Caenorhabditis elegans: one gene and its partner. The protein of the gene in region 2 binds, or shares a complex with, the protein of the main gene of each other region. Each region holds a gene or a part of one and is shown on either strand. Other genes may lie near its edges.

Region 1 (6,547 bases), on a different chromosome or scaffold from region 2:
ACAGCCGCCGACACGTAGATCGGAAGCAGTGGCGAGGAGGCGAGGAAGACGTCGAAAAATCGAACAATCTGCTGATATTGCTTCAGTGTATGTGAGAACCAGGTCAACGGCCACGAGAGTCCGAACATGGTGCCGAGCTCGACGGATCGCATAACTTGCTCCAAAGATGGGTCGACACGTGACAAGATGACGTAGAGGAGATCCAGCTCTCGGACTACGGATTTTTCGAGAGTTTTTAGCAAATAGTTGTTGAATGAGCCATTTTTCGCGAGATTTGAGCAGACTGGGAGAGCATCTACCTCGCCGCAAACTAGAAGTACTGTGAGGCAAATGTCGTGGAAACCTGGAAAATTTGAATTTAAATTATGTTATATTTATTTTCACATCATTTCACTCACCCTGATAATAATTAAACCGTGGATTAATACTGAGCACCCGTACAATTAATGGAATGAGTTCGGTTTGAAGCACGTCTCGATGGGTATCTGATATGTTCGGTGGGAACCTGGAAAGCGTCCGATGAACGTCCAATTCTACTTGATTCCATTCTTTGTGGCCTTTTAAATCTTCTAGTGTCAGCTCCTCGCTTTCCTGGAACACAAGCTTATATTTCATATTTAAAAAATTTATATTCAGTGTAAAAACCTCATAAGCAGGCTCCTCGTCGAAATCCGACTGCGCAGATTCGAAATCCGAGTCGTAGGACGAAGAAACATCGTCTAAATCATCGTTTTGCACTAAATTCGCGGATAAAACTGGCCAAATGACGGCGCGGAACTCATCGTCCACAAGCCCGCCGGGTGAAATCGCAAAATCGCGGAGTTCGTCTGAAAATCGTTTTTTGATAAATTTAAATTCAAATTCTATAATAAAAATTACCAATATATAAGCTGAGATCCTCTTTTCGGTGCTTTTTCAAAAATCGATCAATTGCTTCGCGTTTATTTCGCAACGCGTTGAATTTTGCTCTCGCCAGGGGTCCCGGCTGAAAAATTGATTTTTTTTCGTTAAATTTTCTCATTAAAAACCCCTACTTTTACATATTCTTCGCCCAAATCGCTGCATGAGGCTGTCTGCCACTTATCTACGAGCACCTCTTTCAACGGCGAATTTGGCTCCGAAAACGATGAGTGCATGAACGGGTTAATTGCTAAAATTGAAGTTTAAAGTTTTTTATAGAAATTTTATTTTAAAAAAGTATAAAAAGAACAGAGTAAAATAGAGAAAGTGGATTAAAAATTGACAGAAAACCCGATGAGACATTTGTCGTCAAATTTAATGCAAAGTGTGCATACACCGTCACGTCACATTGCACCATTTGTGGAATTTTTAATAAACGTGGAATTTTTTTTTCAGAATCACAATTTTATAGCGCTGAAAAATATAATTTATGAATTTTCACTTCTGTTTATTTGGAAAAAATCTGAAACATCAACTAATTCATCAACATTTTATCGGCAAAAACCACCAGAAAACACGGAGAGACGGGAGCAACAAGAGATATTAAAGTGGATAGAGAGAAACAATTAAATAATATTAGGGCCGCCCAAAAGAAGCTTGAAAAAACCTTCTCCATTCAGGCATCATAAAGTTAAATTTGCCATAGAAAAAGGCGTTGTTCAGAAAATGACGACATGACTGGGAAAATGAAGAGGAAAACGAAAACGAGTACATGGTGGAACCACCAAAAAGAGGGGACGCCGCTCCAAGTCTTCGAGAAATCAGGAAGAAAAAGCAGCGCATAAAAAAGGGGAAAAACCGGGAAATCAAATAACTAATTAGTCTCTCATCTCCTCCTCCGTCAGAGGGGCTTGTGTTTTGCTTGTGCTCAGCGCAATGGTAATCTCCTCATCCACAAATTCGTCCTCGTCGAGTTGGGCTTCTGTGTCCACGCCGTTTCGAAGAGAGATTCTCTCGTCACGGGTGGCGTCGAGTTGCTCGCGATTCCGGCTTCGAATAATATCGAAGGCAGCCATGATCTTGCGTCGCTTCTCAACAACCTCCTGACTGGCTCTGCACTTTTCGTCGTCATCCTGCTTGATGAACTTGGCGGCGGTCTTCTTCAAGTTCTTCTTGATCTCACGCTGCTTCTGTTCGCTCAACTTCACCGGCGGCCGTGGTCTCCACTTGAATTGGGCGAGCCGGTCGAGATTCTTTCTGCACAGTTCTCTTCCCTGGAATGTGAAGATTCGGTAACCCAAATCGGCTCCGGCTCTTCCTCCCAACGTTGAGCATGTCACAAAGTATCTTCCAGTTGGATCCCAATATCCCTTATTGAAGAGTGGATGTTCTATAACATTAGTTCTCTTGGCCTCCGACAAAGAAGTATCAATGAAATAGACGTTTCCTCCAGCTGACACCTTGGCGAGAACTGCAAGCCATCCTCCTTTCGGCGCGAATTGAACCTCATTGAAGTGAACTCCAGCGTCCAACTTGCTCACAAGCTTCGGTGCGTGGCTGTTAGCCTCGATCTTGTAGACTTGTGGAGTGGCCTTAGCGGTGTTTCCCACGAGCACACAGAACTTATCGCCTTCTGGATCCCAATCGAAATGGATGAATGGCTCCGAAAGTGGGAGATTCATAAGGGAAACGTCCTTCTTGTCAATCTCGAAGATGTCCACGTGGTATTGGCATCCTCCCTGAAATTATATCATTATTATTATTATTGTCATAGGCCTCAAAAAATCCTTTAAAAAACTCAAAACTTACCACATATTTGACTTCTCCGGTCTCTCTGTACTCCTTCTTCTTGAATCTCATCGTGTAGAAGGCCAATCGCTTTCCGCTCTTCTGCCAGAACATCTGAGCGTCGGCGACATTGTGAACGCGAGCCGAACGAAGTCTCTGCATTGATGGAACTTGCAAGAGTCCAAACTCGGCTGGAACGGCGTCAGTGCACTCTGAATAGTAGGCGAGGACTGTGGATGTTGGCGACCACTCGAATTGCTTGATATTCTCGATATTCACGGGACGGCCTTCATAGAGCTCGAACTTCTCGGATTCGAAGATCGAAATTCCGTTGATCTTCTGCTCACGCTCAAGCTTATCCTTTTCTGGAGCCTTGAGGCACGCGAAGTACTTCTCATCGAATGACCATCTGAAGAATGGCCAGGTTGGGAGCTGAGTTCTTCCGGTGAGCTCGAAAGTGGAAAAGGCCTTCTTCAATTCTCCGGTTCGGACGTCCCAAATTCTCAAACTATCCTTCTCACAGTCTCCCCAGCTGTTCGACTCTTCCGGAGCGGCGTAGGTAACAAGGTAGGTCTCACACGGCGAGAAATCAATGTATTGAACGTTGGTATGAGCGAAACGGTGGGCACGAGCGTAGTCTTTGCCTCCCCAAAGTATGATTCCTTGCTTATGGATCGTGGAAAGGTAGGAGCCGTGTGGTGACCAAGTGAAGACGGTTTCGGTCCAGTTCTGGAAAAAAAAATTATTTCATTTTTTAAAAACAAATAATTCTCAAAACTTACAGCTCTTTCAGCCTTATCGGCATCTCCTGCAAGCTCTGGATCATTTCCCTTCATATTGGTGAACACTCCGACAGTTGGAACTCCAAGTTTATCGTGGGAAATTGCGAACTGATCACGGCAACGCTCGTTTTGAAGCCACCACCAGAGATCTCCAACGTCATTATAAGCCTGCTTCTCTGGAGTTGTCCAGTGATCGGAAGGAGCTTCGAGTTGCTTCATATCCTTGAAAGAACGGGCGGTGAATGTGTGATTCTTATCGAAAGCATATCCATTCAAACTTTTCACGGCGAACTGAGCGGATCGTTGATCGGCCCACTCGGTGAGCAGAACTCCCTGGAAAAAATATATTAAAATCGATATCGTTTGCGTGAATCTCACCAAGCAACCTCCTTCTGGACTTGGCGGAATGTAGAGCTTCACTGCAGGATCCAACCTCTCCAGAACCTTCTTCAGTACACTTTGGAGTTTTCCAAGACGGTCAGCTCCAACAACTGGGATTCCCGCGATGAAGACGCAATTGTCTTCAAATTCATCGATAGTTGGTTTCTTGTGGAGAACGTCAGGAACGAGAACTGAAATAAAAACATTGATTGTTGGCTATTTTTTGGAATTGATTTCAAAAAATTGAATAAAAAACCAACCATCATCGGTGACGTCGTCAACAAATCCTGGCGGATCCGAAAAATCTTCTTCGTTCTCTTTATTAAAGTCAATTTCGACCATTCTGTGTAACCCAACTAGTCTGAAACTTTAGACACGGTTTATTGAGTAAATTGTGAGATATTTTAAAGGAAAATGGAAGGAAAAACGAGATAAGTTGAATTTTTACAGAATTTTCTCCGAAAATTGTGGAAAAATGTTGGAAAACGCTGGAAAATCTGAAAAATAGGACCGATATTTGGAATATGAACAAACTCTAAACAACACCCATGCGGGAGAACGGAGCGTCGTTGCAAGCGCTCGACCGAAGAGAATCCTAGGCCGCGTCCATGAGATTTGCGCGGAATTTCAAATAGAGATAATTTTGAAACTCAAACGCGAATCAATGCATTTATAAATATTTAATGAAAGAAAAATGGGTGTACGCAAACACCAGACTTTACGAAGAAATGCGGACATTTGCCCTTTTTTCCGGAGAACGCGGCAGCGAGTACATTTTAAATATATTTATCGATCAGTTGTTTAAGTAAATAGCACAATCGATACCGAGCTCCAGTCGATGCCCGCTCAACAATCAAAGAGCAAGCAACAATCCAAGGGGGTAGTCCTCACAACAATGCTGCTGACCGTTTACTGTACAAATCACGCAATTTTTACTATAACATGATGATTAGTATACATTATTCTCAATGGATTCGTCCTTGCAGATGATTTGCTATGAGTGTTTCAGTAAAAAGTTGTTGAATCAAAGAAGTTTTGGATTTTAAGAAAGAACTTGAAAACTTAAAATAATTCTGATAGTCTTAGGTCGTTTCATATTCTGGGTTAGATGAGTTTTGTCGACTGTGCAACAGAAAGGTTTGGGCTTTACATTGGAAAAAGTGAGTGTATTGCATCGGAAGACTATGTCTGGATACGGAGTTGTGTTTTTGTTAGTTTTACTGTAACATGATGATTAGTTTACATTATTCTCTTTGGATTCGTCCTTGCAGAGTATGGACTATGAGTGTTTCAGTAAAAAGTTGTTGAATCAAAGAAGTTTTGGATTTTAAGAAAGAACTTGAAAACTTAAAATATCTCTGACAGGGTTAGGTCGTTTCATATTCTGAGTTAGATGAGTTTTGTCGACTGTGCAACAGAAAGGTTTGGGCTTTACATTGGAAAAAGTGAGAGTATTGCCGGTACAAAATCTGCCAGCTTCGACGGAAGGGATAGCTTGTATAAAACGAAAAGTTAAAGGCAAAACCACAAATGATTTTTAGCAGTTCTTTTTTATTCTTCTGCGGATCGTCTTGCTTTTTCATGATTGATGATTCTTGGTTCTCCATGATTAGTACGGTAACACAGCAGCATTTTGTCAAGCTATGTTTTTGCGATGAGCGGCCCTGTTTGATGACCTAGCGGCACTCAATTGCGCGCTCAATCGAATGACTGGTTATTTAAAATCGAAAATAGAGGTGGGGTAGGCGATTTTTTTTGGAATTTTTTTAGTCTGCTACTTGATACATATAGACACTTTCGTATCTATAGAAATTTGATGTTCTTCAAATGCCACACCTCTAATCGATTTTTATTTGGCTAGCACAATCGATACCGAGCTCCAGTCGATGCCCGCTCAACAATCAAAGAGCAAGCAACAATCCAAGGGGGTAGTCCTCACAACAATGCTGCTGACCTTTTACTGTACAAATCACGCAATTTTTACTATAACATGATGATTAGTATACATTATTCTCAATGGATTCGTCCTTGCAGATGATTTGCTATGAGCGTTTTAGTAGAAAGTTGTTGAATCAAAGAAGTTTTGGAATTTAAGAAAGAACTTGGAAACTTAAAATATCTTTCATAGTCTTGGGCCGTTTCATATTTTGAGTTACATTAGTTTTATCAACTGTACAAGAGCAAGGTTCGGGTTTCACACTTGAACAAGTGAGAGTATTTCATCGGGAGACTATGTCTGGATATAATAACCGGTAGTGTAGTTTACTACAATAAAGTTGTGTAGTTCAATACGATCATCACCGGGGACTTCCTGTTCCAGTGGTCGTTTAGCTGTAGCTAAGCACTCACTGGATGTGGACCTCCAAGCCCTTTCTTGCATCACTTGGCCGGTGCTGGGTAACGCACGTGACGTGAGAAAGGTCGCAAATCCCTAGAAATCTTGAAAAACGGGACGGCCACCCAAGGGTCAGTGGATTCTGCTGGCAGATTAAGCTGACTCTAGGATTGTCTAGGGTCGGTCTTGTTTAATCCCATTGTGGGGTAGAGATCTAGTCCGTGAGGAAAAAGGCGGGCAACTCGATCAAACGCCAGTAGATCTTCGGATCCGACGGCTTTGGTTAAGAGGAACCCTGTGTTATCACTATTGTGCTACAGGCTCGCCGTTTCGGATAATGCATCGTACATGATTCAAACAA
Region 2 (5,360 bases):
AAGTTGGAATTGAAAGGGAGATCAGTAGCAGGGCGTGTAAAACTGCGAATTTCAGTATAACAATCCAAGTTTTTAAAAAATTAAAAATTGATAAATATAGAAATGTATAAAACGGTTCACTTTTAATGAAAAGCTTGAGAAGACCTCTAAAAGTTTTTCTACGTTTCTAAATCAATTTTAGATCAAAAAGTGAATTATTATATTGAAATAAGCGGGTTTTGCACGTTTGCCTAAACACAACCCTGACCAGTAGTTGTTAGTGTCTGTGAGATCGTGTATTTGAAGAAGGTCCTCCAGAAGTTGAAGTAGGATTGCCGGGAGTAGCTGAAAATAAAATATTGACAATATTCCTCCAACAACTCATTGACCACCATAGAGATGAGCATTAGGAGATTCGGGAGAGTCAGAGGGTGTTGGAGATTCGTCATTGATTCCTTGCTGTGGTGTATCATAAGCGTTGAAGAGGAGTGGCGAATCATTGTCACCAGAACGAGAAGCTCGTGGACGTCGACCTACACGAGGTGGCATAACTCTCAACATTTCAGCTGATGAGACAGGGTTGACTGGCGTCGAAAGTGTTAGAGTTGGAGCAGCGACAGGAGTTCGAGCAGATGTTAAAGTCTGGAAATACGGAGAATAGCCATAAGATAAATATGAAAAAGTGAATAGAAATAAGTGTTCGAAACACCAACAACACAAAATTATGTCACCTGCACTTCAGTGAATGACATTTCACATCGATTCTAAAAGGTAATGTTTAAAACATTTAATTTAAAAAAAAAAATTACCGGTGCAATGGAAGTACGCGTGCACTCTCCCGTACTTGGTCCTGGAACGTCTCTGTTCTCTGAAAAAGCTAGGTTAGGAAAAATTAAATAAATCATCATCTCACTTCTATCCGCCGATCTGAGATTTCTCCTAGTTATGCCACGTGGAGGCTCACTCTGATCCATCGGCTCCATTTCGTCAATATCCATCATTTCGCATTTTGGCACGATCACAGCTGGAAGTACCCTCTTGTTCAGTTGATCTGTCAGCCATTGGATATCGTCCTCACACAATTCTAATTGTGTTAATGGACGCCGTAACATTGACATACTGAAAAAGAGTGAGATAAATTATTTAATTTCATAAAAACTGTGAATTGGCGAAAATGTGTATTTTTGGAGATTTAATTTTTAAACGGCAAAATCGAACCTATGGCTTAAATATTTCTGTAATTAGCGAAAAAGTAAGGCAAATTCAACAGAAATGACAAAATATACAGATGGAAGTGTTTTTCCTCACAAAAAATAATTTCAAACAATTTCTCGGCAACGGCAATAAATATATATTGAAAGGTTTCATAAACCTAGATTCTAACAATAATCAAACCATGATAAAAGAGAAAATATATTATTTTAACCAATTAGAACCGAACCTCCAGCCCCTGCACTAACGAAAGAAGGGTCAGAGACAACAAAAAGAAACAACAGGGATATAAGGAAAGTTTAGAAAAGACAGAATTCGAGTAGTCCTCGTAAAAAACCGAGGAGCTGAACAAATAAGAAAGAAAAATAATACTGAAAACTGAGAGATGACAGTCTTAATCTCCGTGTTTGCCACATCTCAATTTTCAGAACAGCATCAGATGAAGAAAAAGGAAAAAACATTCAAAACCGGAAGAACTTGTAAAGCCTAAGTCGCCTTGACTTTGTCTTGACGACCTTTTTCCAATTGAAGGGCGATTTGTTGAGCGCGGAGGGTCAATCTCTTCGTGTTTTCCATGACTTGCTCGTGGATGCTGACGGATTTGACACCCATCACCACTTGTCCCAACTTGCTGTCAATTTTAGCTCCTTCGATACGATACGTTCTGATCAAGTCAACAATCCAGCGTTCAGCTTCCTCTTGGCTCATATTCAATCGTCGTGCTAGCATTTCTATGGTAATGCACTGATGAATGCGGCAGAACATCTCGAAAATGAGAAGGCGTGCAGACTCGCGGAAATCTCCAAGGACAGCAGTCAGGAAGAAATCATTGGAGAGAACCTCTTCGCACTTTTGAAGCATCTCTTGAGCCTCGTCGAAATCATATTTGATGTAGAGACAGGTGAGGAAATCAGTGACGGGATCCTTGTAACTATGGCGTTCCTGTAGAAAAACAAATAATTAATCATATTTTCATATAGAAAATAGTTAAACTCACGATGTCAATGACCTTCACCAAATCTTTCAAGCTGTTCTTCTGGCGGCTTTTGCTGGTAACAACGGCAACAGCCAGATAGCGGAGCAAATGTGGCGCCAAAACTTGGATTGCATTCAAATAAGGTTGCTGGTTCAAGAACATTTCGATAATCTCATCACGCCCTTTTGGATAATTGTAGTAGACGAAAAGTGCCCAGTGCATAAGCCACGCACGTTGCGTAACAAGTTCCCATTCCGTGTCGAATGGATTAGCATCGATGTAAGCACGAAGTTTCAGCAAATCGTCACGAGCATGTTCCCATTCTTGGAGCAGAATTTCACTGGCCAACTTTCCGTAAAGAGCGTTCAAATAGTTTGGATCCGCTTGATTGACAAGGTTGCGGTAGTAGTAAAGGCACACGGATGCGACGGTGTAATTTCCGCATTCGTACATGAACTTGCTGTACTTGAAGAGGGTATCGACCATGTCTACTGTGAACTGCAAGAATTAAGATTATTTTCGAAACTGCAAAGCAAAAACGTACATTGTGGTTTTGAGTGAGATGCTCCAAAATACGGACATTTCCATCTCTTTCTCTGTTGTTATCCATCATTTCCTTGACTTCCGGTATTTCCAAAATGGCAACAACGGAGTCCACCTTGCTTTTCAGCTCATCTCTCTCCTTGATAATTTGCTTCTTCTTAGCCTCAATTGCAGCCGGAATAGGTTTTCCATTGTAGGTCTCTATAACACTATCAATCATATTGGTCTTGGTCAAAAGCTGGCGGTGCATTTCGGTCAGGGATTTCTCATCGTAAATCTGCAATTATCATTGATATAAATAAATTCAGCTATTTCAGAATCAACAATTTATTGTTTAAATCTTACTCCTCGTGGTTCGATGAACTCCAAGAGCGGAATGATCAAATGAAGATCGAGAAAAGGCGCCATGCGCTGAGTCAGGTCGAATGTCGACATTTTTACCTGTAAAATAAGCGTATTAGTATAGTAATATGTTCTAATAAAACTCCAATCAATTTTCTTAACGGAAAACATAAATAAAACAAAAACAATGAAATTGCAGAAAGAAAATCGAGAAATTAGGAGAAATTCGCCGGGAAAGGAGGAAATGATAAACAACGCGCGCTATGGAATATCGGAGTGTCGTTGCTACTGCCTGCCAACACGAGCCACCAGCGAAATGAGAACTGCGAGAAGTAGAACTACGAGAAGAATAACCGAAAACTGCAATTTGCGACATTTGAAAAATATTTCGGAGTTTTTTGGTTCTAAAATTTCAGTTAAAAGTTTTTTAATTTAAAATATTCAAATTGAGAAATTACGAACGAATCATAATGTTCCTGGGATTAGGAAGAGTTACAAGATATTAAGACCCGAGCCCGTATCGAGACCCACCCCGAAAAACATTGTGTGGCTTTAAAGCAATGCTTAAATATTGTAATTGTGAAATGTCAGTTTAAAATCACATATTAATTTTTCGAGTGGGTCCCGCAACGATCTCAATAATAGTGTGCCAAATTTTACCGATGTGTCAGAGACACAAGTTTTATGAAATTTCAAATTTTGAAATGCACAGAAAAGCGAACAGTAAAATTTAGAATGCTTTATTATTAATTTTTGGGAACAGACGAGACCGTAAATTCATGTGGTGTCAGGTTGCCCCATTTCGGTTTGATCAACATTAAATTCGGGTATTTGATGTCAGGAGGAATGCCGAATCTACGAAGAATACGATTCAATTCATATGGACCTCAAAACTATGAAGGAGTAATGCATCGAATTATTCACAGACCGTGGAATGGAAAGCGAAGACCAAAAGTGTTCAAGTGAGAATATAAATTATTTGTCGTAGAGCTGGCGAGTGGGCTACATGAAGAGCCCTGATTCTTGAGGGTAGTGTGCCACCCAGTTGAAACAAAACCTGACTATATAGTTTGACTTGTGGGTCTTGGTTACACATATTGTTTCTAAAGATCTTGACATACCGTATTTCCTCTATTAGTTCAACAGACTACTTTACTTTGAAAGGTTATATCTCGGTTCATTTCAAAGATATCATAAAACTATTAACTACAAAACGATATAAAAAGAACTACCAAATATTTCATCAGTTAATTATTTTTGAAAACAACCGAGATATAAGCTCTCAACCGTGAACGATGGGGTGCCATACTAATTGAAGAAATTCTTGCTACCTATCTACTGTAGAGATTAAAGGAAAAAAGCTAAATTATTTTATTTGAAAAATAATAACATTCAGATACAAAATAGACGAATTGGATTGTACACTTGGATGGGATATTGAGAGCGACGATGGACAAATTGCAACCGTCAATTTTATCGAAGAATGCCTTGATTTTGTTGTATGGAAAAACGATAACTATTAATTCAATTTAAGCCAGTTGCTGTTATGTCAGAATACACTGAAATTGACCAAGATATCAAAATAAAAAAGGCAAACAATTTTTAGATCTCAATTTTCAAATAACCGCTAAAATTTGTTCAAAACTGTTTTGGTAGATTTCCAGCTGCCAAATCTTAACTTTTTGGGTGCAAACAGTTTTTTTTTCAAGTTGGAATGTTATATTTTGATATTTGGGTCTTTTCGAATTTTTAAAAATGTCCCCCACTAGCACTACTCCATTTTACCCTCTGTTTTATAAATGTATATGTTATTCAATTACTCTCAAATTATCATATTATTTATATTTTCATTCTAATCCATGCTTTTTCAAAGACTTCATTTTAAAGAAACCTATAATATTATCGAATCCAGATTATAGGAATTAGGCATGTTATGAGGTGTGTAACAGGCGCCAGAAAGCAAATAGTTAGTAGCGAACATTTTTATTTCCCGATAAAATGTTAATTAAACATTTTCAACAAAGAAAATTTACGGAGAAATCAAGGAAAAATCGAAAAAAAAGTGACCTTTCGTGAAACGTGAAAATGTCTTGATGAACTGATGAATCGAGAAGAAAAATCTATTAATCAATATTCATCGAACCAAAATCGACCAATTTCGCAGTATTTTGAATTCATATTTCTCTGGCAAATTGTTGAAATGGCAACGGAAAACAATACAGGTAAGAATTTTATGCAGATTTTCAGAGAAAATAACTAATTTTCAGATGTTTCTGAGAACCAAGAAGAACCTGATGAACTGAGTCCA

The links. The genes of interacting proteins can lie anywhere in the genome.
Region 1: eif-3.E (region 2) and eif-3.B share a complex: the UniProt entries of both Caenorhabditis elegans proteins name them as parts of the eukaryotic translation initiation factor 3 (eIF-3) complex.

What each region holds. Positions count from the first base shown.
Region 1 is NC_003280.10:14,793,075-14,799,621, reverse strand, and holds eif-3.B (Eukaryotic translation initiation factor 3 subunit B), read right to left. Parts: upstream 4,219-6,547; 5' UTR 4,194-4,218; coding exon 4,112-4,193; intron 4,043-4,111; coding exon 3,849-4,042; intron 3,804-3,848; coding exon 3,471-3,803; intron 3,418-3,470; coding exon 2,710-3,417; intron 2,640-2,709; coding exon 1,779-2,639; 3' UTR 1,387-1,778; downstream 1-1,386. Other genes in the region: tbc-20 (Rab-GAP TBC domain-containing protein), read right to left, coding at 1-343, 399-591, 646-827, 880-985, 1,035-1,136. UniProt on the Caenorhabditis elegans protein: RNA-binding component of the eukaryotic translation initiation factor 3 (eIF-3) complex, which is involved in protein synthesis of a specialized repertoire of mRNAs and, together with other initiation factors, stimulates binding of mRNA and methionyl-tRNAi to the 40S ribosome.
Region 2 is NC_003279.8:10,639,131-10,644,490, forward strand, and holds eif-3.E (Eukaryotic translation initiation factor 3 subunit E), read right to left. Parts: upstream 3,152-5,360; 5' UTR 3,146-3,151; coding exon 3,056-3,145; intron 2,988-3,055; coding exon 2,712-2,987; intron 2,666-2,711; coding exon 2,189-2,665; intron 2,134-2,188; coding exon 1,678-2,133; 3' UTR 1,393-1,677; downstream 1-1,392. Other genes in the region: cdc-26 (Anaphase-promoting complex subunit CDC26), read right to left, coding at 257-324, 369-621, 789-847, 893-1,097; B0511.17 (DUF4283 domain-containing protein), read left to right, coding at 3,899-4,014, 4,449-4,575; tag-344 (Protein kinase domain-containing protein), read left to right, coding at 5,154-5,274, 5,320-5,360. UniProt on the Caenorhabditis elegans protein: Component of the eukaryotic translation initiation factor 3 (eIF-3) complex, which is involved in protein synthesis of a specialized repertoire of mRNAs and, together with other initiation factors, stimulates binding of mRNA and methionyl-tRNAi to the 40S ribosome.